Linked DNA regions of Arabidopsis thaliana. The protein of the gene in region 2 interacts with the protein of the main gene of each other region in a pairwise test. Each region holds a gene or a part of one and is shown on either strand. Other genes may lie near its edges.

Evidence for each region.
Region 1: the proteins of NAC032 (region 2) and YAB5 interact in a two-hybrid assay, tested with the Arabidopsis thaliana proteins (one large-scale study listed by BioGRID).
Region 3: the proteins of NAC032 (region 2) and AT3G48510 interact in a two-hybrid assay, tested with the Arabidopsis thaliana proteins (one large-scale study listed by BioGRID).
Region 4: the proteins of NAC032 (region 2) and AT1G22190 interact in a two-hybrid assay, tested with the Arabidopsis thaliana proteins (one large-scale study listed by BioGRID).

What each region holds. Positions count from the first base shown.
Region 1 is NC_003071.7:11,302,825-11,312,315, forward strand, and holds YAB5 (plant-specific transcription factor YABBY family protein), read right to left. Parts: upstream 4,187-9,491; 5' UTR 3,916-4,186; coding exon 3,844-3,915; intron 2,926-3,843; coding exon 2,806-2,925; intron 2,158-2,805; coding exon 2,049-2,157; intron 1,958-2,048; coding exon 1,909-1,957; intron 1,803-1,908; coding exon 1,727-1,802; intron 1,168-1,726; coding exon 1,099-1,167; 3' UTR 1,095-1,098; intron 987-1,094; 3' UTR 631-986; downstream 1-630. Other genes in the region: RPN13 (regulatory particle non-ATPase 13), read right to left, coding at 8,358-8,440, 8,513-8,567, 8,638-8,715, 9,009-9,103, 9,309-9,332, 9,420-9,491. UniProt on the Arabidopsis thaliana protein: Promotes adaxial cell identity. Regulates the initiation of embryonic shoot apical meristem (SAM) development.
Region 2 is NC_003070.9:29,096,290-29,104,442, reverse strand, and holds NAC032 (NAC domain containing protein 32), read right to left. Parts: upstream 4,605-8,153; 5' UTR 4,415-4,604; coding exon 4,246-4,414; intron 4,144-4,245; coding exon 3,869-4,143; intron 3,780-3,868; coding exon 3,462-3,779; 3' UTR 2,684-3,461; downstream 1-2,683. Other genes in the region: AT1G77460 (CELLULOSE SYNTHASE INTERACTIVE 3), read right to left, coding at 4-65; PBC2 (20S proteasome beta subunit C2), read right to left, coding at 6,338-6,386, 6,539-6,633, 6,991-7,075, 7,395-7,484, 7,603-7,710, 7,810-7,991. UniProt on the Arabidopsis thaliana protein: Transcriptional activator that positively regulates age-dependent senescence, dark-induced leaf senescence and stress-induced senescence.
Region 3 is NC_003074.8:17,964,334-17,971,688, reverse strand, and holds AT3G48510 (AtIII18x5-like protein), read left to right. Parts: upstream 1-3,098; 5' UTR 3,099-3,236; coding exon 3,237-4,121; 3' UTR 4,122-4,335; downstream 4,336-7,355. Other genes in the region: PDE312 (Nucleic acid-binding, OB-fold-like protein), read right to left, coding at 6,281-6,698, 6,769-6,920, 7,158-7,208, 7,286-7,355.
Region 4 is NC_003070.9:7,832,153-7,840,074, forward strand, and holds AT1G22190 (Integrase-type DNA-binding superfamily protein), read left to right. Parts: upstream 1-3,628; 5' UTR 3,629-4,092; coding exon 4,093-4,878; 3' UTR 4,879-5,259; downstream 5,260-7,922. Other genes in the region: AT1G22200 (Endoplasmic reticulum vesicle transporter protein), read right to left, coding at 5,705-5,796, 5,896-5,962, 6,060-6,152, 6,241-6,294, 6,540-6,591, 6,681-6,748, 6,834-7,013, 7,199-7,291 and 3 more.

The DNA.
Region 1 (9,491 bases), on a different chromosome or scaffold from region 2:
TATTTATTAAAAAATACGTTAAAGATAACAATTTCTTATTAGTGTATGTAAATTTAAATATGTTTTAGACAATGTAATTAAAATTAGAATGAATCATTTACTCAAGAGTTAGATAAATGCATCAAAATGATAAATAGGAAAAACACCAAAAATATTATTTATCAATTAAATCAATCAATGAAAATTGTTATAACTAACAAATTAGGATAAATGAGAGTCATTTATTCGAGAGTGAACTCATGTGTATAAGTAAGTATAAGAATTAGAACTAAAACCGAATCTCAAATCTAAAGTACTAAAGTATTGTTTCCCTGTTAGAAGATCCGAAAGAAAAAATTTATAAGGACTTCTTATACACCATCAAAGCTTTGAAAATCAAAAAGAAGCTTGGTCAGTATTTTGGAGTCAAATATAATTAGATCTCGTGTATATGATTCAGAATAAGAATTAGAACCACAACCGTATCCCGAAAGCTAAAATAATATTTCCGTGTTACAAGATACAAAACCACTAACTCATAGGGAATTTGCTACATCGTAATTAGATCTCGTGTGTATGATTCAGTATAAGAATTAGAACCACAACCGTATCCCGAAAGCTAAAATAATGTTTCCGTGTTACAAGATACAAAACCACTAACTCATAGAGAATTTGCTACATCGTTAAAGAAAAAAAATACTTATTGTAATATTTACTATTTATAATTCAAGTATAAGATAGGTTTACCATAATATAGATTACATATTTTTTATTTTAGATTCATATATCCGAAAGAACTCATAAATCTTGTGAGACGAACCATACAACAAGGGCCATAGAAATAAATTAAAAGAAGCTTTTACTAAATTATAACTATAGATGGTTTTAAAGATAGACATCTTCACTTACATACATACGGTTCCAAAGATCATACAATACATATAGTTGCCTTCTCAGCTCTTGTTACTTCGAAGTCTCCAACACTTATATTACCATTAATCTCGAGACTAAAACAAGACAGATAAAAGTAAAATTTATGTTAGTTTACAATAAAAATAAAATTTATAACTAAGGTGAATCTCTAAAACAATTGATGAATAGAACAGAGCACTTACATTATTAGGCTATCTTAGCTTGCTTGTTACTCTCCAGCATTAGACCAAAGTGAATATGAGGAAAGTGTGCCCACTACAAAGTGTGAACCCAATTTAATCAGAATATTACTAAATCTAGTTTTCTTCAAAGATGTCAAAGCCCAATCTTTTATCAGAGTTGTATAAATTTAAGATCATATAATTATTCTTATTTTTAATTTAAAATTGGTACCCGTGATTAACTTTCTACACAACTCGTATGAGTGACTCGATATAAACTTATTAGAAAATTATATATATACCTATAATATTTAAATCCTAGAGAATAGAGTTAAATTTATTTATTTACAAATTTGTTAAGAATGTTCTCTACGTGTTTAGTCTTAAAATATGTTTTCAAACACAACTCATAAAATTAAATGGAGTATCTTCCAAATCATAAGGTCTCCAAGTCGAATTTGTAAAAAACTATAAAAAAATAAAAAATAATAATAATAAAAAAAACATCTACTATGACATATGTACTATAATTAAATAAGGAGGCCGCAATAATTCTTTATTGGTTACTAAAACTTAAGATATTTCTTTTGGCTAAAAAAAGCTTATAGTACTTTATAAAACTGTTTGAACATATAAAAGAAATAAAAACTTACATTCTTGGCAGCAGTGCTGAATGCTTCTCTGTGGCTTATGTCTGGATTATTCGCCTTAATCCTCTGAATTTCCTCTCTTCAAAGGTTTTAATATAAACACACAAATCAATAACCTCTTTCTTAACAGATTTGAACATTATATAGATATATAGATATATGTATGTCTAAAATGTTTTTGTTACTTTATGAATTGATTGTACGCAGAAGGTACTCGCTGCCGCTTCTCCGGAGCTGAAAGACAATATAATAATTTTAGCATATACAGTACACAAATTACTTTTCATGTTTACTTCTTTAGGTTTATATAGTAAGCAATACTTACGACGGTTTACAATCCGTTGCTCAGTTATGGTACGAGTTGAAATTCTTGAAGGGATTTTTGTGTGGCTTCTTGAGGAGGATCCATACTCTGGTACTGCATAGTTTGTTGCCTGATAAAAGTATAAATGCTAAGAAGTTTAGAGTATTTAATCACTTGGCCTTTTCTTTGATTTTTCAGACCAAAAATGGTGAATCAATAGGATTGAGTAGCAATCATGTATGTATTGTCTAGTTTCGGAAATGAAAAGAGAAAAAAGAAAGTGGACCAACTAAAAGATATTTCATTCATATTTAAGAGTAGTTAAAGTCTAAAAGACAAAACCTTTAAAGAAAGGAATCTGATATATATATTTTATAGAAAACAAAACAAACCTATGAAACCAGAAACCCTAACATTCATGTCAATCAAATCATAGAGTAAGTAACCGACAGCAGTAATAGATCAAACAAAAGCTAGGGCTCTATGAAGAAAAAGCAATTACGAAAAGGCTGCAGATATCAGTAACAGCTGGAAAAATAAACTTAAACATGACTTGAAAAGAGTAAAATATTTAAGTAATATTAAATTCTTTGGGGCTATGTAGATGTAGACGGCGGCTGGAGACAGAAACATGCAACTAGAGGCTCAGATTTCTGTCTATCATTCGTTTTTCAAAACAAACAAAAGAGCCCTAAATTTCAGAGGGTTGGTTCAAGTTTTTTTTTTTTTTTTTTTAAATTTACAATAAACCCTTCACAATTGAGGAGAGAGATGTTACCTGGAAATTAGGGCGTGAAAGCGACTGAAGAGCAGCTGCCATGTTTACAGACCACAGATTGGTGCAGTGACCGCATCGGACGGTCACGATGTCGAACAGGCTGCTGCATGGGACATTCACCTACACGTTTTAGCCAAACACAACCTCAAATATTAATTAATTGATCTTCTTTCTTGGAAAATTGGATCTGTTTACTAGATGATCCATAAGACATAGATCGACGAAAAGCTTATACTAAAATTTATGCTACTAAAATTTGTTATAAGATAATTATCATTAGACAAGGGAGAAAAAGTTGTTGCTTGTCTTGTTAATATAGATCAGATATTCCTATCATTTATGGGTTTTTTTTTTTTTTTGGGTAACATGTTAAGTTCTTTATGGGTTTAGAAGGCAAAATAGAAATAATGCAATCTAATCTTATGACATTAAACAAAAGTAGTTGCTTGAGAGATGATTATCTTCTCTTTTGAAGTTTTGCTGTAGCCACCATTTAAGATCCGGAAGTGACTCCATTTTCAATATGCGCAATTTGTTATAGATTAGTGAATAGGAACACACATATTTTTGACAAAAAAAAAAAGAAAAGGAACACAAATATATGCATGGCCATTTTAAAATAGGTTATCTTATGAGTCATAACTTAAAATGGTAAGTAAAATGCTCGTAATAGGATTTTCCTTTGAGGAAAGTAGGAAAAGAGCAGAAAATAAATCTATATGATGCTGAAAAAAGTCATGTATAGCAGAAGGATGGTGACTTCTCTCTGGCACCATAAGCTAAATGAAATATTTGTCACTGACAAAAATAAATTAAAACAGATTTAAATGAATAAGAACTTTGAACATTTGTAAGATAGTGGAACTGATGAAAAGAGCTTCACCACTCTTTATCAGAAACCAATATATAGTACAAAGGAAATTAAAGGTAGATCTATGCTTGATTATATCTTTATATATACGATATTTGGAGAAGCATAGATCCATTATATATAATATAACAGCAGATATAATAGATATATATGTATAGCAATTATACCGCAAGAATTATGTTGCAAAAGTTGCAAGGGATGTAGCAGAGCTGTTCGGTTGCCATCACAGAGTTAGCCATGATCGATCTGAGAAATAGGACCAAACAAGATGTTTGTGTTGAAGATTTAGATAGAAGAAGAGAGCAATTATATAGGTGAAAAGATATAGTCTCTCTCTCTCTCTCTATATATATATATATCAACCCGAACAGACACTTGCCTTAAAAACGGGTATTGTACTTCAACAACTATTCCAAGTGATCATAAAGGTAATTGAATAAATGGGAAGATAATACATAAGCCTAAGGAGAGGATGAGAGTTAAAGGGGCAAAATTATTATATGCAATGTGAAGGATTTGGGAATTTCCATGTAGGCTATATGTTCTATGTCTTTTAACGAGTAGGGTCCCTTCACTCATGGGGTTGCGTACCATAAGAAAAAAAAAAATTCTTATCGAAATACTGAGATGGACATAGTAGTTAAGTAATTTTTTTAAAAATGTAGTAATGTACCAGTTTTGTTATAACATTAGTTAACGGCAATAAAAAACGATATATTTTATTTAAAAGAGACGAAACTAAATGTTATGGAATAGATAAAAAATTGTAGAAAAAATATTTTCGTCAATGATTTACTATACATCGTTTATATCTATTATGGTGAAAATAAAATTACTAAGAAAAAAAAAAAATATATATATATATATATATATATATTTATGTTAAAGCAATTTACAAAATTTAAGTTCGATATATAATTCTTTTTAAAAGTGATGATTGCCTAAACAATATTTTGAATCATAATGTTATACAACCAATCCAGGGGGAGTCGGCTATATGCAAGATGTTGTATGTAGTAATGGAAGAATATTTGTATGCGCGAGAATATTGTATGTCGGCCTTCCTTCCAAGAACACTAAATTGAGATACTATAATATCGATGGTATAAAGAAAGATTGGTATATGAGAACGTTGATGACAACAACAGCAACAAAAAAGGTAGATGAGAACATTTCCTCTTCGACATTATTCGTGGGATACTTCAATCAAATTTAGGGTTGAATTTTTTCTTTTGTCGAATGTATGATTGTTTAGTAGACTAGTACTGCTGAATTATAAAAAGGTTGATTGTTTAAAACTTGGCATTTATGGTTAGCAATAGATGAAAATTTTACCTGTATTATTCATTTCTAAATCTTGAATATAAATGCAAATCAGAAATAAATAAAAAGCTACTCACTCTCTTTCACTTTTCCTAAGAGTATCATTAATTATAAACAAAATTCACACAAATTAAGAAAAAATTATGTAAATTTTCGAAGGTACCATTTAATAATACACTAAATAGTTTTATCATCCTAATTGATAAACTGAAATCAACATTTTCATATGATATATGGTTCTCTCTAATATTTTTTTTTTTAAGACTTACATTTTTAAAAAGACCCCAATATTTTTTTCATTCTTTCATATTAAAAATTGGATCACCAAATCAATAAAAAAATATATGAGGATGTGCAGACTCGTAAAATCTAGACAACTATTTCATAGAAATGGGGAAAGAGGAAAAAAAAAGGAGAAGAGTAGTGTGGCTACGGAAGGGTGCAAAAGCTGGGACCAGCATGAAAGCAAGTGGCCAAATGTTTTTTATATGCTTTCATTGGTAATTAACTTTTTGATATATTTCAGGTTTAGTTAGGGATGAGCCAAATGCTATTTTGGACAGCTGATTAGACATTAGGGTTTGTTAGAGTCCACTTCTTTTAGTTTGGATAACTGATTGGATGGACATTAGGGTTTGTTAGATAGAGAAAGGAAGAGAGAGTTCTAAACATCTGAAAAGTGGTAGACCTTTATACGAGTAACCCAAATAATATTTATATATATAAATTAAAGATTGTCTATTTCATCTTAGAAATAAATTTAAATCATGTGATGACTAAAAAGCTTCTAACTACACATATACAGTGTAACCTCTATAAATTAATACTCTATAAATTAATAACCTCTGTAAATTAATAAAATTTTCCGGTCCTGAGTTGGGACCAGTGTAAAAAGTGACACAAATCGATAAATTAATAAGATAATAATTGTTTTGAAAATTCTATGTAAATATATGTTCCTATCAATATCATAAATTAATAATTGTATAAATATATCAACTATATATATATATATATTATAAGTAAAAAAATTCTTTAAAATATATTTATAATATATTTTTGCTTAAATTCATATTTGTTCTTTGTTTGACTATAGTTTTCATATTTTATTGGATCAAATTTTTTGGTATTGTTTTCTAGACATTATTATTATATTTTACTTGTAACTGGTTCTAGGAAAATATTTTCTATAATGAAAAAAATCTTATAGAATTTTTTTAAAAGTTACCAAATTAGGAAAATCTCTCTATAAATTAATATTTATTAATTTATCGATAAATTAATACCTCTCCAAATTAATAAAATTTCGTAGTCCTAACATTATTAATTTATAGAGGTTTTACTGTAGCTAGTTTTTACTTGTTACTATTGTCTGTCTAATTTCTACTACAACCTTGACATACATCACAGTAGTAACCTAATTTCCCTTGATCGCCTTTTCAACATTCAAATAGAGTGTTAAAAAAACATAATCCATTCATATGTTGACATATATAATTGAAATATTGATCTATTCTCTTAATTGTTGTCTTACCATAAAATCAATAACTTGAACTATAAGACATATAGAGAGAGATTCATTAAAGTTATAAAAAACTAAATTAATTCATCAATTATTCCAGTGAAAAAGAATTAAGATCCCAAATTATTCAGGTGCACTAACTAATTTTTTTTTTTTTTTTTTTTGAGGCTGGTTCTTTATTAAGAAGGAAACAATCAAATATTTTTAACTTTATTATTATGAAAAACCTGAAGATTAATTGAAGATTGGTTTGGAGTCGAGCGAAGTTGAATAGCTCATGTGATGTGTTACAAGGAGTTATCATGAAATCGATGTATCATCACATTTATGGCTTCTTGCAACCCCACATTCTCCCCTCCTTCCACCACCGCACTTAGGGGGCGATTTCCTATTTTTCAATTTTCACATCATTTTTTATATATTTAAACTCGTCGCCAAATTATTTGAGGAAACCTTGAAAATGATGTAAACCTGAGTGATGTCTTAAACAAGAGAATGTGCACTAGAGGAAGTTTCCCTTAAGTTTTACAAATCCATCTTTAATCTTTCCTTGTTTTCTTTTCGGTTTAGCCTTGTTCGCTTTTTTGCTCACAACATTGCAAATGAGAAAAAAATCAGAAAATCACTAGAATAGGCATCGCAACAAGTTTATAAAGTGGAAAACATTGTATTTCATAGCAATGAAATGGTATTTATGAAAACAGCAAAGCTATTTATGATCCCAATGAATGATAGTAAATTTTATTATTTTGAATGATTTTATTTCTACCATTCAATTTAGTCGAGAAACGTGATTTTTTCCCAGTAACATACTTGTTATGTTAACATTTTTGATTTATCAAATAATAATTTGAACAAAATTTATTTTTGTCATATAACTATAATACAACAGATAGTTTTCTTTGTAAATGTGGATGAAACAATGATAAAGTGTAGAAAATAAATGAGACAAAAAATTTGTTAACAAAATTCAGTTTTTCTTACCCTCCCGAACTACATCCAGATTTCGATTTTACTAGAACTAGAAAGCAAATAGAATATATTCGCAAACGCGTAAACCAAGTACAACCCAAACATACAAAAAAATATGGTGAGAAGACACATAAAGAGTCAAAATGATTATACATTGTATTCCAAAATTATTTTTGTTCTACAAGATTAAAAGAAAAAATGATATTTTACAAAAAGAAAAACTACGATATTTATTGAAATCTGTATTTATTGAAATCTTACAAATCCATCTTTAATTTTTGCCTCTTTTTCCTATCCTTGTTTTCTTTTTGGTTTAGCCTTGTTCGTTTGTTTGCAAACAAATTTGCATTGATAGTACTGGTAAATGGAAAAATCATGAGACTTAACAAGCATCGCAACATGTTTATTAAATAGAAAGACATCATTTTCTTTGATTACGCTTTACTAGAAAATGACCTAGGCGTTGCAATATTTGTGGTGGAACATTTGAGAAATAATTTGGTGATAACTGATCAGTGATAACCTTCGTATGGTTGTGAACTTGTAAGTGAATATTGACATTGACTTTATGTTACACGGATATGAAAATTATGAAGAAAAAAACAAAGCATATGAAAATTATGAAAAGTTTTTCTCTATGGTTAGGGTTTTCTTTTTCCTATTGAAATCGTGATTCCGCATGTCCTAGTCTAATTAAATCGTAAAATTGATATAAATGCTTAGAAACCTTTGTGGCAGAAAAGGAAAATCCCATGATGATCCTTACACTTTCATGAAAACTCCATAAATGATCCACCAAACAACGAAGATGTTTTTCTCAGTTCAATATCAAAGTTCGAACAAAATCATGAGAATATGAAAAGATTAACTCTCATCCATCGCATCCCTTGATTGCGTTGAAACCGAGTCTTCAAGTGCTTCAAGGAATGAGTCCACTGTGAACTTGTCTGCAAAAGTTAAAACTGCATAAGAGAAAAAGAAACAACAAGAATGGAAACAACATCGTAAGAATCACTCACATTTACTTGGGTCTATACCAAACTGAGTCAAATCTATTTGTCCTGTGCGGAGTACCTAAAGAGAGAGATGTTGAGTTAGAATATCGACCCAAGAATGGAAACAGCATTGTCACAGATGGGCTTACATAGGTAAATGCATCTACTTGTTGACGAAAAGGAGGGCTCTGCAACAACTCCAGTATATCTTCTGCCCTAGAATGACCCTGTGATTGATTAGATTAGCCTTTGGGTTAGTCTGGTACATGACCAATGTGATTAGCCTCAGCTTAGCTTTCAATCTCTTGTTCTTTAAGCTTTAGCAACGGGTCCTTTAACAAGAGCTAAGGCTAAGGTTTCGCATCATATCAATTTGGTATCAGAGCCAGGTTAAAGGGAAGTTTTTGCTTAAAACCTCTGGTCCATAACAGACATTTTCAGAAGACAGAACTAAAATGGAGAGAATTGCATGTAATGTTCATATTCATAGAATACAGAAACATTGAAGACCAAGACATACCTCAGGTAAATGCGAAGATAGTCGTTCTTGTACCGGCAACGCCTCAAGCAATGGCATTATCAACTCCGGTTTCAAGATATCCCCTAATGCTAAACCTTTGAACGATATAACAAGAGTGGACGATGAGGTCAGTAATGAACAATAGTAGAGAGAAAGAACAATTAACAGTTGAGAACATATTATTGATCACAGAAAAAAGCTGGGCACTGCCATTTCCAACCAATGCAGACTTTAGGATAAATATATAATGTCTTCGCACCATATCATATACAAATAATTTAAAACATTGAAATTATTTACCTTCGTCTTGATCTCCAGCAATACCTAAACATTACAACCGTACCTAAATAAGTATAAGAGGGAAACCAAAAAATCCTATTGATAGGAGAACCTAGAGATAGAGAATTGTACCTACAGGGCCACCAGAGAGGTTGTTCAGAATTCTTTGCAGGTCTGCCAGCTTAACCGGTCCAGAGGACGATG
Region 2 (8,153 bases):
TACCCAGACTGCAAAGAAGATAATGTTTCCTCCTCCTGCGTTCCAGGAAGAAAGGCCTTCAACATCGCTTTTAGCTTCAGCCTCTGGTTTCCTAGAATAGAAGAAACCAATATTCAAACTTACCAAACATTCAAACTATCTTTGCACTTACACTGGACGAAGTGAAACTACTACTCTGAATGGCCAAAAAAAAAAGAAACCTCACAGTTTTTTGTTATAAAAACTCAAAGATTTCATCTTTTAAATTCAATTCTTTCTTACCACAACTATGTCGAATTTCTTCATACTCAAATTACAACGGTAAATTAAATCAACATTGCAATGTTAGAATTCAAAAACCCAACAGATTTAAAATAAAGAAGAAAATTACACACCTCGTGGAATGTGGTGCAGAAGAAACCTATGAAATCTCTCCGCGTCGCTTCTAACTCAAAATCCGCATCACCGTAAAATCTCCAAACGGCGCCGGGATATAAAGTTCCGAGTCAGAATCCATCTGTCCGGTCAAAGTAACACTTAACCTTCAAAGTTCCGCTTCTAGAAATTCAAAGAAGCAAAAGAACCTTCCAGAATCAGCGAAGAAGAAAACAGAGATTGGATCACAGAATCCTAGGGCTAAAAAAATAAAACAAAGAATGGATTTCGTAGTTTCGTTGGATCAATTGGAGAACAACAATAATAGTATAGAAATAGTAGGAGCATTGCGATTTTAAAAGAAGAGGAAGCTCACAGGAAAATCACCTTTTGCTCGTTTGTCGTTGTCGAAATCAGAAATGGTGAAATTAACTCTCTCGAATGAGGAAGAAGAACGTACGAGAGAAAGAGAAGAGATCAGTCCCTTTTTTTACTTTTTTTCAGTTTTCGTTCGTTTTTTTTTTACTTTTTTACTTTCCTTAATCATCAATTTGTTTTTCCCAGCCCTTAATCATCCAATCTTATTTTCCCATAATTATCCAATTTTCTGTCATCATAAGCTTGTTAACTAGTACATTTGAGTGTCCTAATATCGATTTATTATTTCTCCACATTTGATTTTTTTTTTTTTTACTTTTAAGTCAGTTGAAAAAGTATTTATATGATTGAAGATTTGGTTGTTGAATTTTCCACGGCGGCCATAATAATGGAGTGAGTGTGATTTAGTTAGAATTCTGAATTACTCTTATCTTAGCATAAAGTTGTCCAATCTAAAGAATAGGATTATTGTTAGATTTTATAAACATTGAAATTTTAGACTTTTTCAATGTCAACTTTGTTTGGGTCTCCATTTGGTTGAGCTTATCTTATTCATTTTTTAGCCAACAAATTAGGAAGAAATAAAACGTTCCTCAAGATTCATTTTTTCCCTCTATTTAACGCATGTTTTGATAAATGTAAAAGTATTGGAAGTTGGAACATTCCTAACTCCTAGGTTGTGTTATGCCAAAACCAGGTAAATTAACATTTAAAACTACATCTAAGTTTTGTTCTTTAAAGTTTTAAGAACTTTTAAACTGAAATTATGTGTCTATGTATTATCTTGCGTTTTGACCATGTCTTGTTTCCAAACTACTACTATATGATTTGGTCTATTAACTCGGAACCATTTAACCAAAATATATGTTGTAACAATTAACCTTATTCCAAATGGGGCATAGAGCGGTGGACTAATTATTCTCTACGTTATAAAACATGAGTGAATATGTATGTAGCCATCTAGCTATTTACAAAAATAGCATCCATCTTGTCAACCATATATACACAGAATTCTCGCACAAGTCACATAATACATGCTCCCAAAAATATTATAGTTTTAAGTTATAACCTAGGCAGAAAAATATTCTATTCACAGTTTTATCTTAACCGAGTTGTGATCTCGAATCTGTCCAATTTCGTTAAACTATGATATGTTTGTTGAAAACTGGACTATTACATAAGTATTATTCACATCTACATACATTGGTTAATTAGAGAGAAATCACTAATTTGGTTGTGACGAATGCGAGTTAATTAAACACAACATTATGCATTGTGGATAACAGATTTACACTGTTTGATGGAGTATATTGTCCATATGATTTGAATTTCCTGATTTAGTAGGGGAAAAAAAGAGTTGGATAGATTTTAAAACTGTTTTAATGCTATTGGAAACATGAATAATAAATTAGTATAAAGTGTAAAGAAGATTTGGTTGTAAATTGAAAGTGAAGGTTGTAAGAGCAACAACAAACAGACCTAACATGGACTTCAAACCCCACACTTCCCCAGTGAGATTGACTGTCTTCATTTTTTTCCAGTTCGCAACAAATATGTCTGGTCCCCTTACTTTACTATTCTTTTATACTATGACATCCAAGCTTTTAATCTTGATTTTCACTTCCCTTTTTATAGATTAAAATATAGATTAGAGACCACATATACACTCGCAAGTTTCTTAATTAACCTCTAACAAATCACATCTTATGAAAACTTGAGCATTGCGCAGTTTAAACGTTGATACTTAATTTAGACGGCCATATAGTAGATACCATGTTATAGGAAATAATCATCTCATAACAATTAGATGGAGGATAAATTTATTTGAAATAGTATTTATGTCATCTACTCATAACTATTTTTATTTAATGACATGTGATAATAAAAGAAACATCATTCAATTTCATGAGCTACAAAATCATAAAGATTTAAAACTTGTGAATTCATAATGCATCAAATTTATTATATTGTTCTTGTAGAAGATAGTTAGATCAGTTTTATAGTAAGGAACTTTACGAAATTTCAGTCGTCGTTTTCGTTAGATAGCGATGTATTTGACTTGGACTCCGATTTAACCTAAACAATTCAAACCGGTTAAACTAATCATGCCTCGGTCTTATTAGGAAAGACAAACTCGTGTCAAAATCAAATAAATATACAAAAGACAAAAACAAATTAATTAGAAATTAAAGCGAACAATGAGATTTGTTTGAATGCAAGTTGCAACGATAAGACTGTTATCTGTCAGACCCTACCATTACCGACACTTTTTCGATACCATGCAGTCAGTAAAATCGGATCTCGAGCTCCCCTCCCTCCCTAATACCCCAAACACTAGTGATATCTTCCAATTTCTTTATTTTATTTTAGTTTGTAATTTAGTTACTATTTTTAACTTATATATATATATAACAAAGCTAGATTGTAGTACAACCATAACAAAAAAAAAAAAAAAAAAAGAAGAAGCTAGATTGTAGTTTTGAGTGAAAAAAAAATGTAAAGAATATATAAGTGATTAAAATGAATTTATATTGCTTCCTGAAAATAACAACACAATACAGTAGCTTGTCTTACTAAGGGAGAAGAAAGGCTAAGGCCCAATTGTTGTTGAAAAGCCCAATGAGGTCACTTCTGGATCAGCTAGCGGGTTTCAAGACGGCTACCCGACACGTGCGAAAACAGACAGTGATAGTTTCCACTTTCCACTAACTCTAATCGCACGTGACAACTCAGAAAGTTCCCTGCCTAACCACAAGTGGATCAAGCGTCGTCGACCACATCTGATTCCCGCCCAATAGCCGTGACACAATCTCGTTATCGGCGATGGCATCTACGTAATTAAACGGAAAATCAAGGGCATTACTCAACCGACCGTTGCTACACGTGAATTCCGGTGACACCGCTTGCTCCGAGCCGGAGATCAATCTCGCCACAGATTCCGGTGGACACGTGTCAGTCACAGGCTTTAACCCGTCCTCGATATCGCTTCGTCGCTTCTCGATGACACCTTTCTTGTTATATATACGACACAATACCCAATCGTCCAACTGTTCAAGAATATCAAAAACACGTCCGGTTAACTAAACCGATTCAAAATCATATTCAAAGTTCGGTTTGAACTGATAAATTCACTCACTCTTAGACTGTTTTTCTTACGAACCGACCGGTCAACGTCAGCGAGCCGGTATTCGTGCATAATCCAATTGGTTTTCTCTCCATTTGGAGGTTTTCCCGAGTAAAACACTAGAGCCTTCTTAATACCAACCGGTTTAGGACGACCTATTGGTTTATCAGCTCCGGTAGCTTTCCAATATCCAGTACCAGCTGCACGGTTGGGTCTTGAACCGTTTGGATACTTTCGATCTCTTGGTGAGAAAAAATACCACTCCTTTTCACCGTACAAAGCCATGTCTGTAAATTGTAAACCGGTTTATTAATTCTTAGACCGATTTTATAGAATCCTGTTACTGTTAGTGTATAGTGTGATTTAAAGGGGAAAAGAAAGAAACGTACCGGGAAGGTCCCAAGGATCATATCGGTACAAATCGAGTTCGGTGATAATCGGAGCAGGGATCGGCTGCGACGCGCATTTACGACAGAGATACATGAGGACTAGCTCCTCATCCGTAGGATGAAATCTAAATCCTGGTGGAAATTGCAAATCAGCCCCAGATTTCATCATAATTAACCTATTTTCCCCTTTATTGTTGTTTAGCAAGAAAGAACTGTAAAGATATGTTTGAAAGTTGAAACTTCTCTCGAGCAAAGAAGAAAGATGACTATATATATAAGAAAGGTCGTGGACACATGGCGGATAGACAGGGGCTTTGTGTTGGTGGAAAGGAATCTCAAACAAAAATAGAAAAATGGTTAAATCTGTATAGTGGAGGATTCATTTGAAGTAGATGGAGAGGGACACGTGGCAGACTGTAATGTAGGTGAGTTTTGTCATTGCTTACGTCAGACTATTTGGAATGTAGCGGTCCGAGAGCATGTCGATTTTGGGAACGAGCAATAAGAATCGACACGTTCGATCTTATGCGTGTACTTTCCTAAAGGAGACCAAACGTTGACCGTATCTCAAAATTGTTTCTCTCATTGATTTCGTGAGATTTTTAAGGGTTGTATTTTCGATCTTACTATTTTTAATGTCTATTTTTTCTTTGTTCACCTGTTATTTTCGATCTTATTTGAAATTATAAACGAACGTCATCAATTGATTAATGAACATTCTTTTCGCCGTAAATTTAACTATTCTCTTTCCGCCGTAATTAAAAAGTAATGATTACTTTAAGGATATATTCTTCTCCATTAAAGATCGATACTCTATATCCTTGCTTCCACAATTGTTGGTGTATCAATTGTGTGTGTAAAATACATTCCACTTTGAAATTCAAGGTCTATAACATTTACTTTTATAAAACTAGTACGTAAAACGTCGCATCCAAACTCAAATTCGAGACAAATTAAGTTTCTTTCTTTATAACCACGAAGAGGTCTATGATTTAGCGTACACTAACGGCAAAAAAAAACAGAATCGCAGCTGTTAGTTTTCTTTTTAAAAAGCACCTCATAGTTATCAACTTATGCTAATGCCCACTTAATTCTGTCATTTTCTCTAATGGAGTCCACAAGAACGTCATCTCGAGCCGCCTGTGCCACCTAATAGATAAACGCTTCGATCTATGCCACGTGGAGCCGGAATGTTAGTTCTGCCGCTTTTTATTGTGGCGGGTTGAATTTGATAAAAAGCTCAAAAGTGACCGAAGAGTTTAGACACGTGACATGATGTGGATGGTTCATAATCAAAATGATTAGACGCATGAATTTACGAGCATCGATAATGATTGCCCAAGTAGAACCTTTATATGCTTTGCCCACACAGGTAGTATATGAATACCCACCGAGATTAGTTAGGTCGGCAGGATTGGGTTTATATTCGTGTAACGACCACATCTATTGCACATGCCACGTTTTATATGAAATCATCAAAACGCTTATGCGTATGGATTTTGCCTCTCTGGCTCGATCTAACGCCACAAACAGAACAGGACATGCAAAATCATTCACAATGTCAGATGGCAGCATCAGGATCATCATCATAATAGTTTGATTCGTTTCTATTTGCAGTTACTAGTGATCACCTTCCAAATTACATTGATTTCATAGTTATTGTATGATTTCGTTAGCCAAACCATGTTTATTGATAGTTGACCAAAATATTTCGTTGACATGTTAACGTCTTTCTAAAGTCACCCATAGTGAATCGAACATGAACACTAAGAAGACAAACAACAAAACGTGTCACTGATCAGTACCAACCTTGAAAACTAAAGACTGCGACAAACCAGAAATCTGGAACACTTGGTACGAAATTAAAACAGAAACAACAAGGTACATAGAATGATCGAGTACTGGAACAAGATAACAACTGCTATTTCTTCATTTTCATTGAACTCTATCAATAGCAAATAAAACATCCGAGAGAACGAACCACAATATCCAGTTTCAGAGAAGGAACATAGTTACTATGGGACGAGAGCTTCTACATAACCGGGTTAAGGAGTATACCGAACTTGGACAAAAGCAGATATGTGATATCAGATCAATCCATCCTTCCCTTCAGGATTCTCTCCTTCACCTCCTTTGGTGTTCTGGACAACATGACCATGAAAGAATGTTACTATCTTATATAATACATATCCTTAGAAGATAAGTGCACATGAGGTATATTCTGTAAGAAGCCAGATGTGACAGAAAAAAAGAAGAAGAAGAAGAAGAAGAAGATGAGGAGAACAAAACTTACACAACGTAGACATGTCCTCCCCACCCACTAAGACAATCGCGGTCAACTGAAGAGAGAAGTGCTTGTGAAATTGTCTCGAATAGTTCCTCAGCTTCCTGAAACTCAAATTTGTTAAGTCTAGTTATATGCTTTTCATTTCATCACGAGTCTGTTTACAATGCACTTCTTAGAATGATGACCTTGAAATTCAAACTTTATCGAAGCAGTACTATGGCAGGGAAGTAATCGCAATATTGAAACATCTTAATCCTAAGCCAAATTAAAATATACAGAGAAAATTATTGGAGTTACGTCATATATCACCAGCACTATGCACACAAATATTCCTACCAGATCAAGATTCTACAATAGAATACTTACATATGAATGATCCTACCAAATTTTCAGGTGATAAACACACATTTGAGTATCCAGTGAATCGGTACAAAAACAAGTTTTCAGAAGGCACATACCATATCTGGTTTGAACATGGCTTCACAGGCACCATATAGAGATTCTGAAGCAGTTCCCGAGACAACAAAATCTTTAGCTAACTCCCTGCATTTAGAGAGAACAAGCGTCAAGGCATGCTCACCATTGCAACTATCATGTTCGGTAAAATCTCAACTATATTAAGAATCATATTTAAATCAGCTCAACACATGTAAAATAAGTTCACTCATATGACATGCATACACTGCATTGGATGACAAAAGACCAAAATTAGATTCCAACTAAAACCAAAATATCAATCCACGATCATTTTCTAGCTGACCTAGCAAGTTTCACGATTACAGTCACTGACTAAGTAAATTAAATGGCATTACAGACGAAAAATGAGATATAACGTCTTAAGTAATGAAGAAAGCGAGCATACTTGGCTCCAATAGAATCCATAGTGCAAATGAAGGGTTTGTTATCATCTCCCAATCCAGCAATCACAGGTTGGCACAAGAATGGGCCAAATCTGAAATAAAGAATTTGGTACTTAGTAGTGGCAATGCCACATTAATCATAAGAAATCAGATTGTTAAGAGGAAACTAGAAACTAATAACAAATTGAGAGAAGAAGACATTTCACCAACCTTTTCTCATAAAGAATAGCCGATACAAGACTAGCGAAAGTTTCAGGCTTCATGTCTCTTTCTTCCCTAAGCTGATATAACTTATGACGAAATACGAGTCGCTGGTACCTTCAGTACCAAAGACAAAACAAAAAAAAACGGAGCCCTAAATTTTGTAATTCACCTAAAATTCTCTGAGGAAAGGAGTAAACATATACGAGAGCTTACAATGTCTGGACATCGGTGGCGAGACCGGAAAGTCCGATGAAGAGATGATCGTGGATCTTAGATATTCTCTGAAAATCGGTAGCAATGGTTTGTAATTGCACACCAAGCCTCCGATCACTAGCTATAGCGAAGCAATTCTTCCCTACCATAGCTACGACGGCACTTCCATTGTACTCGAAGATCTGAATCACCACAATGTCCACCGATTTTATCGTTCAATTCATACTATCAATCTTTGCGCAGAACAAACAAAAGTTAGAAATTGAAAAAAAGAATTCGGCAAGGAACACTTACCGACATCGGAAAATTAGGGTTTACTGAGTGAAGCTTCGGGAGTTTTCCTA
Region 3 (7,355 bases), on a different chromosome or scaffold from region 2:
CAAAAAATCAAGACGTACAAAGAAAAAATTAAACTTCTAAGTCTAACACTATATGATCCAAACAATTTACTAATTAAATTATTATAAACATGAAAACTGAAAAATAGTTTTTTTTGCTAAACTAGACTGAAAAAATAGTTGTAAACGGAAAAAAGAAAACATTGGATACCCAAAAACAAATCTAGTGATGTTGAAAACACATACCATTTCCAATAAGAAGTCATCTTGATCAGTCCATGCTGTTTATCTCAAAGCAGAAGCAATGCAACTATTGATCGTGAATGCAAATATATATGGTCCACGACTCATATTTGAATGAAATGTTAATTCCACATATTAAACCGTACGAAATGATATTATTATTTTATTTTTTAAAGATATTAAAATCTTTTTGAACTACAATTCCAAATGTTGATTCCAAAACTCCACTGAAAAAAACAATTAAGATCATTCTAGCTAACCATATTAAACCTAATGATATTTAATTTTGTTTTTCCGAGTTTTGTAGTTCACAAACTAACAAGATTTCAAAAACTTCAAGAAAAATTGGAAAACCAAAGTGTGGACGGAGTTACCAACTCTAAAACCTGATATTTATAAGAAAACATGCTAACATAATCATAATTATAATGACTTATACCAAATTAGATTTGAATATTTGACTACTGATGTCTTAGTCGAAAAAAAGATTGTGGTTCTAGAGTGAAAACACTTCCAGCGATAAATGTGCTGTACTTAAAACATATAAAAAAGTGATGAGTACTTTATGCTTAGTATAACTGGTTTTGGTTAATTTCATTTGATTAAATAAACAAATAAAGTTAACTACTAATAGTTTATGTGATGATTATTATAAACATATTCTTAGCAAAAAAAAAAAAAAAGATTATTATAAACATAAGCTAATGAATTGTCTTAACGTGTCCTTTTGCGTGTTCTCATGCAAAGTTCACAACACGGACCACTCGTAATACTTTCTAGATTCCCTCGCACCTTCGAACACTACTATCCCAAATCTAAGATTAAATAGTTTTTTACAAGATTTGTTTGGTTAGAACTCTAGTCTAAGTTTAAGATTTGGGAATTTTGTTTATTAACTCACTCTCAGATTTGAACCTAAGTTATGAAACGACAACAAATATTACGAACCAAAACTATAAATTCTGACTGGTTTATATTCACTCATTTTATCATTCATAAACCAAGGGATTAAATGAACCTTTTTTATGACATATAGAAATTAATTTTTTTTAATGATTTTTTATTTTTCATTCTACATAAAATTTATTTAATACAATTCCGTTATTCTATAATACAGTCAATCGTATTATCTAAATATTACTTAACATCCAAATTATTTTAGACTAAACTGTTGGTGCATATGATTTTGGTTTGAACTCCTTTTTTTCGTTTTTTTCACTGAAAGATAGATTATAGATAGAGTTTTACAAAGCTAAAGCTGGCGATTAACAAGATAATCCTAGAAACTAAGCCGACGGATAACAAAAAATCTTTGGAGACTAAGATTTTGGTTTGAACTCTTATGAGATGTTTATTATTCTACCCAAAAAAATAGACTTCAAACAGATTGAATAATGTCTTTTTGAGAATGTTTTTAGCTCATCAGAAATTTAAAATGGTTTGGACAGTAATATGTATCTGACGCATATAGAAGATTGAAACTAATTACCATCTCTTGAGAAAACAAAGTTACACAATCAAACTCTTTGTTTGGCATAGGTCCACTGGCCTAAATTTTTTCTTTGTTCCCATTTGCAAAAATTAGATTCGAACTCGTAAAACATATATATCAAGTCGCTAATAGCCATTAAACTCATTTACTGGTCAAACTATAACTGTTATTTGTCAAATCCGTTATTGTTTGAATATGTCTATCCTCAAAAGAAGATCTCGAAGCAGAAGCTCAAGTAAAATTTATATATGTATTATGAATGTATCCAAGTTTTGTCCATAAGAATTCCTCTAATATTAATAGCTAAATTAAGGAAACACCTATAAACCAGATATAGATGATTATACTTGTTATAATCATTTACTATAGATAGGTACAATAGGAGTATATTTGATTAATCAATATTCCTTCTTGATATTTCAATAACGATTACCTAACTCCATTGGCACTAATCTTTATTTTTGTCACCAAATCTTTAAGTTCATTTACGCATGAGATCATCTTGTCCCCTTTCAGATCTAATTTGTCACAATCACTTTAAATTTAATTAAGATGCCATTCGCTTTAAATTTAGACTTGGTCAATGATTATAATTATAATCGATCGACTCATCACCTTTTGAGTCGTGTGACTCGTGCGTATAAAAACCATTTTTGTTGTCAGATATTTTAACTTGATTTTGCCATCTCTTCACTATTGTTACATCAGTAAATCGCTTCGTAAGTGGAGATTAATTTGCAAATTTTGGAACTAATTACTGACCAGTGATCCACTCTATATATGGTTGTATTAGTACTTGATTGGCAAATAACAAAAAAAAAACTTAAATAAAAAAACTGTGTTATTCTTAAATTTATAGTATATGGATTAGTTTTAAGAGTGTGGTTGGGAAATATACGAAAGTCCAAGAATCTTATTAGTTCGTTCACAATTGTATAGGGATGTTGTCACTAATTTTAACCAAATTATACCTTTTTATCTTTTTGCCTAACATTTTTTTGACGTTGCCCCAAAACGAAGCAATGAGTTGAGGGTTAGTGGTAAAAATAATCAAAAAGATTATATGCATAGATTTATGTGAAGTTAACCAAAAAAAAAACTCGACCCAAAATACATAATCTTCAACAAGAACTATGTTTTCTTCTTGCAACAAGAACTATCACTCCTGTCATAGCATAGACCAAACTTTTTTTTCTCCTACACTAATATATAAAGTTACAGTTCTTTTTACTGAACGGTAAAATTAATGGTTAGAGTTGGGAGAATAACTTAGGCAAAAAAACAAAAAGAGAGAATAACTTTCCATGTGCAACCCAAACCCTTTACTACTGTCTTCTAGACCCAACACAACCACAAGCGTGCAGGCAAAGACACGTGTCCATGTCACAACTAGTATAGACTCCAACACGTGTCCAGATCACAGACGTTATAAAACCCTTACCATTTCTGTTCAGTGTATTCCTCAGCTCAAGTAAAGCTTTTACCTAATTCTCAAACATTCTTTACACAAAAATATCAAGAGTGATATAGATAGCGAGAAAAAATGGACGGTAGGGGAGGGTGTTGCATAGCTAGGTACGCCATTGGCTCTGGACCGTACGATCTTTCCAAAGCAGATCGCATCATGCTTCGATTTCGTCCCATTGCTCCTAAACCGGCCAGCCCCGGCGGAGTAAATCCCGTATCCAGCGGAGATAGCGGCGGCGGAAGCTCCGACGTTTCCTTTAGATCAGCTAGTAGAAGAAAGAGGAAATGTCATCAGCTGAAGGAGAATGGTGGTAACGCCAAGAGGTGCACCCGGCGGAAGACGTCGGATAAACCCGTCGTTCACGGCAGTGCTAATGCGGTGACTCTTTCTCTATTACCGGAGAAACCTATAGATCTTAAGGCGGCGGTGGAGAAGCAGAAGCGGCAGGGTCCGTTATGGTTGAGTTTCAAAGACGGCGGAGGGATGCTCACACCGGCTTATCAGACACCGGAGATTGTGCAGAGGACGGTGGTGATTTCGTCGTGTATGACGGTGGAGCGTGTAACGGACGCTTGGATTGACGGTTACGGTTTAGGGAGGTCAGATGAAGAAAGGAAGATGAATCTTGTGAGAGACACGTGTCCTGGTTTCATATCCGACGGTTCAGGGAGAGTCACGTGGACTAATGACGCGTATCGGAAGATGGCTAGGGATATTATTCCCGTGGAAGAAGGTGCACCGGAGATAACTAGCGGCGATAGTTTTCACGTGATCGTACGGTTGGTGATGAGGGAGAGGCCGATGCTAACGTCCCCTGGATTCACATGCAGAATGAAACTCCAGTACACGTGTCAAAATCGTGAGAGAGGCTCAGTCACGGTGCCTTGCGACGTGTGGAGAATGGACGTCGGTGGTGGTTTTGCTTGGAGGCTCGACGTTAAGGCCGCTTTGTGCCTTTGACACCGTTAGATCAACTTTAGTCACTATGGGCACGAACATTACACATGATATGTCCTCCAATGATAAAATATGGATTCAGAACTAATTAGATTTCTAATGGTTTAACATATATTTATGTCGTTTTTGTTCTTATGCCTTCTTTGTTTTTGGTTGTTTTTTAAATAGTTTTTTATTTAAGAATTTTTGTAAAAAATGCATCTTTCTTTTGTTTGTTCTTGACGCATTTGTGATGCTAAATTTCAAGCTTGTTGCTTAAAAATAATTAATGAAGGAAAATTTTGTAAGTATTTAATGCGTATCGTCGGTGCGGTTCCCACCTATATTGGACGCATGTTGTGAGATTTCACGGCAAGGACGGTTGGAAATTACGGTCCGAGTGATCGTCCAAACATGCAAATTCCAAAATGGTCCAAAAAATGTGAAACATACCATCTTGATTGCTACAAAAAAGTGTGAGCGAACCGGTCTTACTTTGAGCTAGTTACTCACTTGAAGAGATATTTCAGTCGAACTCATCACATTTTGATTTTGATATTTTCTTTTCTTTTGTCGGCACTCACGTTTTGAGGAAACAAGGAATATAAGAAAGTAAACGACCCAATAAACGTGATACGTCGGAGCAAAAGAAAACAAAAAAGGAGGGTGAGGAATAAATGTTGTACTACAGCTTTGAATGTACTACAGTCTACCTGCGGTAAAAGTGCGATATCTAATGATACGTGGGACATCTATATATCATCTATGCCATAATAGAAATGCCACATGGACCAATGTTTAACTATGTGTAGCTGTGTTTTTGGAACTTAAACATCAGTTCCATTTTTTGACAAAAAAAGAAGAAGACGTCAGATTCAAAACATTCAAATCAACGGTGTGTACCAAATTCCAAATCGTTAAGTTAATGAGAAACTGATTTTACCATCTCCGGATAAGAAATAGCGCTACAAGACTAAAATCAAAGACATTGTATGATACTATAATCGAGTTTTTAAGGGTCAAATGAATAGTGTTTAGCCGGGGACTTTTCTTTTATAAATTGTTTTTTAGAATCTTTTTGAATTTATTTTTCGTTATATATAATCAAATTAATCAAAACATAAATAAATTAAGAGTTTTAAATAGCAATACAAGTCTACCTACATTGGACATAAATTGTATAATAATTTAGTTAAGAATTTTAAGGAGACTTTTCTTTTGTAAATTGTTTGTTAGAATCTTTTAGTATTACTTAATCTTCCGTTACTATTGTTAATGACCTAACTGATCAGAAGCGGAGTACTGAGACGTTGCAAACACCATCCTTAAACCGTAAACAATATGTATGAAGATTGTTTTTGGTTGTATAAAATAAAACAAGTCAACGGACGATTTAAACAGAATAATAAAATTGGGCCGAAGCTTATTAGCCTTTTAAGGCCCACAAAGAAGAGCGAAAACCCTTAACGAGCATATACAACTCGGAGCACCTCTTTTCTCTCGCTCTCTTCCTCTTCAAGGTTTATATTTATAACTTCTTTTGCTGCTCTCAACGAACTCTTCCAGGCTAATAAACCGTCTCTGTTTTCATCTTCTCCGTAGCTGAGATAGCTCCATACCCTCTCCGACCCAAGTAAACTGATTTTCCATGTTATGGAGATTTGGTTCTCTAACTTATTGCTTTAGAGTTTTGATGTCATTGTACAAGTTTAATGCTATTATTTTTGTGAATTAGGTACAACCTTGCAGAGTAGCTTTGGTAAGAGTTTGCCTTAAGAGTTTTGTCATCAAAGAGCACACATGGTGTGAAGTTTTTGGTATACACGGAGAGATGACAAGGGTTTTTGATATTCCAGGTACGAACGAGAAAGCCTTTTGATAGAAGTTGATGTTTTGGAGCCCAAACAGAAGAAACAAGAGAAACATTTAGGCGTATTTTGCGGTGTCAAGACTACCTTCTCTGACGACGATTGATAGAAAAAACAAAAAACGTCACGTTCCTAACGTTCAACGGTGTACTACAAGATCCCAAACGTCTGGCTAAGTTAATAAGAAACTGATTTTACTATCTCCGGGATAAGAAGAAATGAAAAAAAAAAACTATCAAATAGATCAAACCTAACAGACAAAAATTCAAATAAATCAACCTCGACAATTTCTTATTTTTACTTTCCTTTTAAACATCAGTCTGTCAAGACTTGAGTACCGTTAACAAGAGGTTGCTGTTCCGAGTAACCGATACTGCTCTCATCACTCAGAATGCTATAGTCAAAATCGTCAAAATCATCGTCATCCTCTTCTTCTTCCTCTGACTCTGTTTCTTCTTCTTGACTCGCCAAGGTAGACCCTTCTTTTCTTTTCTCTATTGTCTGCTTAATCGCATCATCGTAAGACATGTCATACCACACATTGCCTTTCCCAACAATGGATTTGTTGTGTGCATCCTTCATTCTCTCTTGCTTGCTAATCTCTGAGTTCTTTGGCTCTCCCCAGTAGTCATACTGATATAATGCACTTGTTGGATCGTACTGGTCTTTCCCAAAGAAGCTTCCTGGCTTGTACCTCCCTGGTTCCTCCAATGGTAAACCAAGTGCTTGCCGACTGCAAAATAAATCTTCTTCATCTAAACACTTTCTTTGAAAAACATCAAAGTGAACTTTTTTTTACTTACGAGCTGATATCTCTGAGCAATGCTTCTCTTTCCTCCAAAGATCGGCGCCAGTGTAAGAAATCATACTCGTCCATCTCTATATTTCGTCTGAGCTTGTCAATTTTGTATCCTTCTCCTCTTGCTTTAGCTTCCATCATTAGTTTATTGTGGTGCTGCACAAGACAACAGGAGAGTATTGAGTTATTAACCACTATCAGTATAAAAGATTCATACAACAATGTGTCAATTACAAAGTGCAAAGCCTTAAAATGGAACTGTGACGACAATCGGAGTTACCAAGACAGTGTGAAGTGGAAATCTATTAAAAATAAACAAATACAAACGAGAATATTTCCGTAGCAGTGGGTTAAAGGAAATTGGTGACGACAAGTAGGGAAGAGAATTTAAACCTGGCGCTCGGTCAATGCAGCCTCTAAGTCAAGTTCCTTGACACTGGTTTTCTGCCAGAAATAGAACACATTTAATCACAAAGCTTAAGACAGTATGGTTTCACGAACACACCAGAAGAAACTCTCACCAGAATCACTTTTGGCAATTTGGTTTTCTTATAATAAGCTTCGCCATACTCGATATCCTTTTGTTCATCA
Region 4 (7,922 bases), about 21 Mb from region 2:
GGAAGGAGTCCTATACTATGGAGTATGATTTATCGTTTCTGTTTATTGGTGTTTTTTTTGTAATACAACGTAAAAAGTCCATTAATGAGAACAAAATACATCCTTGAGAAGCTTTTTTTCTTACCATCTTGTACAAAAACATACGACATAATCACATAAGCTTTGTATAATAAATAGTCTGCAATGGCCATATGTCATGCAAAAATTAACGGAGACAATTCACCTAAAATCCACATGCAATTCCTCTTTCCCTCGTAGAACAACGTGCAACTGATCGAAAAACAACGACACCCTCCTTTCGATATCACCAAAGGAAAAATAAATTAGCAAATCTATTTTTCTCTACTTTCACTTCACCCAATACACGCATTTTCACATGCATTTGTATTTTACCAACTTGTTCTACTACTACTATATTTCTCATCTTATGCATTAATATAAATTAAAATTAGGTGAGTATATTTCTCATTTTACGTATTAGTGTTAATTAAATTAGGTGAGAAAATACAATTGTAAACTAGTAAGATCATTCAAAGTCAAGAGGTCAAAAAGACACGTGGAGTTTAATAAGCCTTTTAAGGTGAGCTAGTCAGATAAACAGTACAAAATGGACCTTTGAGGGTGAACACGTGGCAGATTCGCAACGGTTGTTTGACTTCGACAGATAAAACGGACGCGTTTGACGGAAACCGCGTTATGAGCATTAAATTGCAAAAGTTCATACCAAAAGCAAAAATCCAATCAGATCCACCTTCTTTTCTTTTCTTTTCTTTTCGACCAAATTAGTCACAAATCGGATCTACCTTTTTTCTTTACGATTTACAAATATTTCTCAAAAATCCTAAAAATGACATGTATGTACTATTATATTACTTGATTTAGATGCAGTGAATCTAGCTATCAAACAACTACTTTTATAGACAAGTTAAGGAACAACAATGCAAAAATGTCAGTCATTTCATTTGCCCCCAATAAAAAAAAAATGTCAGAGAACTTGAGAGTACACTAATAAAGTATTATTGTTTAAATAAACTAGATGAACACCCATGCTACGCATCGATTTTTGTTTTTAAAATTGTCGGAAAAATATGATTATGGTTTTTTGTTGATTTTGATGTTCATTTTGATTGTTTGACAAAAAAAAAAGATGTTCATTTTGATAAATTCATCCATTTAATATAATTATTATTTTTTATGATTAGATTCATCTATAACTCAAAATATCAATTCAACTACAATATGAATATTTATATATTTATTATTCTAATATTTCACTATCATGATCACATACTATAACAGTAAATGATATACTGATATAAGTAGTTATATTACTTATGTATTTTAAAACTTGTCTAACTTAATTGTAACAAACAATTCTTTATTCCATATATTATCTCGTTATCTAGTACACAATCACATCCTGATATGCTAGTAATTTAAGTCAACATTTTAATTCTTATCCCTACCATATAATCATATAAAGTCACATGTTGTTGTTTTTTTGGTATGTCTAATGTCTAGGATGACTATTACGTGAAAAAATTATATATCAATGTTACAAAATTATCTTAACACACAAAATGTACCGAAAGAAGTTCATATGATAAATCAAATTCACAAAATATAATAATAATAAAATATTTAACTAAAATTACTAAATTAATATGAGGTTAGGTAGCAAACATCTAAACTACAACACAAGTAAATTTTTAGCCATTATAGATTAATGATTATTGATTAAATGTTTTTAATAAAATAAGTAGAATAAAATGAAAGTAGTGCTTGGTACATTATTATGACTTTTTATTTATCGAATGTTTTTTAGAAAATTCATTTAAGAGTGAGATTAACACAACAAAAGACTTTTAATTTTTTCTCAATTAGTTTTGCTAGTTTTTTTATTTAATTAATATAGAATGACACATGTCATTTTTTTGTGTGATGATGTATCATTTATATGGAGAGTGTAGGCCAATTTTCATATATATATGATTTTGAATAAAAAGAAAAATTCAAAAGGAGAAAAATAGGCAGCAAAAAGCTGTCAGTTATTACATACAGCTAAGACTTGAGTAATGATTTTGTAGTTGACTATTTCATTTCCCCTGTGGACACGCTCGGCTTACGGTTATGAAATCATGCGTTGGAGTTTTTCTTGCTTTTCCCTTTTCTCATGCGTAGAGTTTTTTTTCTTTCTTTACAATTTGTTTAACCATAGTTTTATAGGTTTGTAGCTATATGAGTGGTTAATTTATGGTCTAGCTAATTGGTCTTTTTCTTATTCAGTTTTTGCATTAAATGTAGATATCAATACTGAAAGTTGACTTTTATCAAAAATACATAACAAAGTATAAGAAAAATAACGCTTAGACAAGTTATTACACATATGCAATGTTCACCAAAGCAAGCAAGTACGAAATATACATGCATATGATAATACATGTAAACGAGATAAATCAGCATCGTAAAGATGAACTGGTAACACGGACACGAGCCATCCACATGGGTGGTACCTCCTTATGCGCGTCTTCCCTCAAAATATTGATCATTATAAAATGATGACACCATAGTCTAACCTTGCAAATTGACGCCGTATTGATTGTAGTGACATTTGTACACGATTACACGAAGCAATAAATTAAGTGATGCAACTCTATAAGATATCGTAAGATGATGAAATGTTTAATAAACTAATTAAATGGATGATATAATACGGAATTGACATTTGAGGAGTTCTCAGCCATTCATTCTAACCCTCTAGACCCTTCTTTTTTAATCTTGTATGATTTATTATCTAAATAAAAGTCTAAACCACTCATTAACATGATATCATCATTACATTGCGAGCCAAAATTATTGCTTAACAATCATGAAGTCTACGTGTGTCACATTCGGAACCTCCGAATAATTATTTTTATACTTTTTCGGTTTGATATACTTCAATATATACTATTAATTTGGATAATCTCATTCTTAATATTCTCTCAGTTCCATTTTATTGAAAATTTTCAGAAGTTTTGTTTTCGCATATATACAAAAGAATTCTAAATCTACTAGCTGGACTAGTGGACCAATTGTTGGACGCCTCTACCAAATAAATCGTAAAAATATGTTGATTTCAATTTTATCAATTTGGCTGGAATCGAAGTGCTCGTGTACATTAGTTTCAACCGCTTAGAAAGACGTCTAGCTAAATGAGTAGACAACCATTTTTTTAACTAATCTTTTAAAATTTATGGAGTTGTGTACGTCCACTCACTTCTATTTGAATAGAAAAAAGATTAATATGGTTATGGAAGAAACGTCCCATAAAGCCGGTGTGAATGTAATATAATGAAATGATTCTCCATCAAACTATGATTGTAAAATTAAAACGCTTCGATTATAGAATAAACTTGTAGAAACATTTTAACTTGTAAAAATTAACCATTCTAAAACAAAACTTGTTAAAACTCAACTTACAAACAATGTTTGATTGAAATTGAATATATATTATTTGGAGTACGTAAACATGGATGATCTTATCTGAAATAGTACATAAAATAACAAAAGAAAAAATTAATTAAACATATAAATTTGAGAAATATGAGGAGGATGGAAAAAAGAAGTCACGCCACGCCTCCTATATAAACAAGAGCCAAGCTAATGAGATAAGTGTATCGGTGAGGCTGAGAGTTATTCACTTACAAAAAAAAAAAAAAACTTGAGTGTAACCAAAAAAAAAAGTTGATATACTTTCTGGTTTTCTCCTTAACTTTTATTCTTTACAAATCCATCCCCCTTAGATCTGTTTATTTCCCGCTACTTTGATTCATTTCTGTTAGTAATCTGTCTTTCGTATAGAAGAAAACTGATTTCTTGGTTTGTATTTTCTTAAAGAGATCAATCTTTTTTTATTTTTGATCTTCTTGTGTTTTTTTTTCTTTGTAGAATTAATCGTTTGTGAGGGTATTTTTTTAATTCCCTCCTCTCAGAAATCTACACAGAGGTTTTTTATTTTATAAACCTCTTTTTCGATTTTCTTGAAAACAAAAAATCCTGTTCTTTACTTTTTTTACAAGAACAAGGGAAAAAAATTTCTTTTTATTAGAAATGACAACTTCTATGGATTTTTACAGTAACAAAACGTTTCAACAATCTGATCCATTCGGTGGTGAATTAATGGAAGCGCTTTTACCTTTTATCAAAAGCCCTTCCAACGATTCATCCGCGTTTGCGTTCTCTCTACCCGCTCCAATTTCATACGGGTCGGATCTCCACTCATTTTCTCACCATCTTAGTCCTAAACCGGTCTCAATGAAACAAACCGGTACTTCCGCGGCTAAACCGACGAAGCTATACAGAGGAGTGAGACAACGTCACTGGGGAAAATGGGTGGCTGAGATTCGTTTACCGAGGAATCGAACTCGACTTTGGCTCGGAACATTCGACACGGCGGAGGAAGCTGCTTTAGCTTATGACAAGGCGGCGTATAAGCTCCGAGGAGATTTTGCGCGGCTTAATTTCCCTGATCTCCGTCATAACGACGAGTATCAACCTCTTCAATCATCAGTCGACGCTAAGCTTGAAGCTATTTGTCAAAACTTAGCTGAGACGACGCAGAAACAGGTGAGATCAACGAAGAAGTCTTCTTCTCGGAAACGTTCATCAACCGTCGCAGTGAAACTACCGGAGGAGGACTACTCTAGCGCCGGATCTTCGCCGCTGTTAACGGAGAGTTATGGATCTGGTGGATCTTCTTCGCCGTTGTCGGAGCTGACGTTTGGTGATACGGAGGAGGAGATTCAGCCGCCGTGGAACGAGAACGCGTTGGAGAAGTATCCGTCGTACGAGATCGATTGGGATTCGATTCTTCAGTGTTCGAGTCTTGTAAATTAGATGTTGCCATAGGGGTATTTTAGGGACTTTAGAGCTCTCTGCGATGGAGTTTTTGGTCATTGCAGAGATTTTATTATTATTAAGGGGGTTTGTTATGTTAATATCAAATAAGTTTATCTACTTTGATGTTAATTAGTGTTAATCTCTGCGTCGGTCCAAGCTGTTTTTTTTTGGCATGCTTCGACCGTGTGAGATTTCTTATGTAATTTTTGTAGTTCCTTGATTTTCTTAGTTCAAGTTAAATTGGCACAAAAGAACAACGATCAAAGTAGAAGAAACTAAATTCCTTAACTATAAAAACTTGATTGGTATGAAACTGCAAAAACTCCTTCTAAATCTACAAAACATGTAACTCACTTCTCGTAATAACTAAATTCTGGAAGTGTTGCTTAGACTGTAAATGAGGAAGCATCCTGAATCAACTTTAGTGTATTTCAATCCATGGCTTTAAGCTAATCTAAGAAACCACTTTCTCTGATTATCAACAAACGTAGACACTTAAAAAAACAAGGCTTTAGTTTAATAACATAAAGCAAGATCGGTATCTTCAGATTTAGACTACACTTTAAACAAATGAGCTCAAATTAAATAGGAAAAATTAACATTCGTTTCAATCGGTGATAACAACATTTTACACTTTGTATGTTGCCTATGAAGAGATAGTGAATAGTGAAAGGCAAAGTTCAGATCCTGGAATATCTTACAGTACTACAAAATTCTTTAAATCATCGCATTGTCACAAATTCAAACCTAATGTCTAACTGTAAAACCCGTAGAGATGATTCTCCAGTAGCTGATCAAGAAAGTGTGGAGAATATCAAACAACTCAGTTGAATTTACCAATCTCCATTTTCTTCTTAATTGCTCGTTGTCCATGGTATATGAACGAATCTACTATTCCCGATACCGTGAAGATACCTGCAAATCAAAGGTATAATTTTAGTTTTGAATTTGATGATAAACATATCAGTAGGGTATGTTTAAATTGAATGGAGAAGGGATATATATATTGATTACCTCCTACTATAGCGCAAACATTTGTTAGGAAGTGCAAGAACTCCACATGTTGCTCCTCAAATATCACCTAGCCAACAATCAAAAGTTAAAATGTTTCTAGAGATATAGTCTCCGTTGGTATTAAGAACACGACTTGGAAAAAGAAAAAGAAAAAACGAACAGACCTTAATTGGCGATAGATCATAGTAGAAGAAAACACCAGGCGGAGATTGCATGCGACCTGCTTCCATGTTCTGGAAATGTTCTGTCACAGAGAACTGTTAAAAACAAAAACTCATAGGTTAGATTTTACAAGAAGAAAATGACAAAGATTTTTATATAGAGATTTGGGGATGTGGGATTTACCTGGTTTGACTGTATTGTATTCTGGTGAACATCGGTGTATATGCTTGGTACCACCTGAAATTCAACACCACAATCCATTCTTTATCCCTACGCTCAACAATCTTTCTAGCATGCAAAAGCTACCGATAAAGAAATTCTTATTGCATTGGTCAACAAGCATAATGTATTAATGTCTTTGTACTTCTCTATCAGTAACCTGAGCTAATAATGAGCCTTTTAGGAATCTCAAAATTTTGTACCTAAACTATTGTCCCAGGTGAGAGCATTGTCTATAGATATAATGTACAAATGAAGCAAACCTTGATGAAGTATTGATAGACGCCACTCTGTTTCCCCTGATTCCACTGCACACTGAGAGAACCAAGAGAATGTTTCAGAAGATAGGATTATTGAAAAAGCGATAACAGGTGCGAGTAATGGCTATATAATTGAGTTTTTACCCATCAAGAGGGTTCACTACACCGGGGAAAAAGTCTCCAAAGGCCAACCTGTTGACCTTGTGGCTAATCTGTGTAATGATATAATAGAGTCAAGACCCATTTGAAATATGAGCTTATAAAGAGAGAATGAAACAAAAATAAAACTTTTCTTACATTGTAGTTGCCTTGCTGGAACAATAACATATCATGAAATTGAAAACCGGATTGATGAAAGCTTTGCCCAGGAATGAAATGAAAGTTCCCAGCAACTTTGTTAACTTCCAAGAAACCGTGAACATTACAACCTTCACCTTCTTCATCTTTTACCTTTTGCACAAAGCCTTCTCTTTTACACTGAAATGAAATGATGAGTAAGAATATCATACAACTAGATGTGGGGATAGCTGAAACGAAAGACCAGATACCCATGGTTTCTTTAGATATATCCATTTTAGTGCCAAACAAGGTGTCACTATTTGTTTCAAACTAAGTACCAAGATCAACCCAATTTTGTTGTTAGTGAAGGAACGTCAGTATACCTGGTCGATTGATTCAGGGTCCGAGAGGGCCCAACCTTTCTTTCGGTAAGCTTCGCGAACTTCCTCACATGAATTACAACAAGCATCATCTGACTGTAACATGTAAGCAATGACAACCACAACATGTAACAAGGATAAAAAACATTTCACCACCATAGAAGAAACTAAAATGTAAATTAACTGAATCAACACTAAAGAACTCAGTTGAATATTCTCTACTGCAACTTAAAGTCCAATATCGCTTGTCAGAGCATATTCTTAGAATAATTTAGGGAAGCTTACCGCTTCTGCTCCAAAACAGGAACCACAGTATGTTTCATTGTGTTCCAACCTTCCACCATGTTTTTGTAAAGGTTTTTCAATCTATGGATAAACAATAACATTAGGTAATTAGAGACATAACGAAGCAAACAAGACAGAACTTCAACACTTTCAATCTCTTAAAACTTCTTGCAATGAGATCAGAGATGACACATGAAAATGAAAAATTTCAAAACCATAGAAAAACCAACCTTAGTATGACCAATTCCGTCTTGTTTTGCCTCGATGACATTGCCAGAAGAGTCTAATCTCCTTTTAATAATGTCATGTCGCTGCACCATACAAACGAACAGAATCCAAAATCAGACAAAGTAAACACACACATAATCTCAATTTGAAAAGAAAAAAACAAACGTAATGGAACAAAACAATTCACCAGGACATACCACATCAAGGTGCCTCT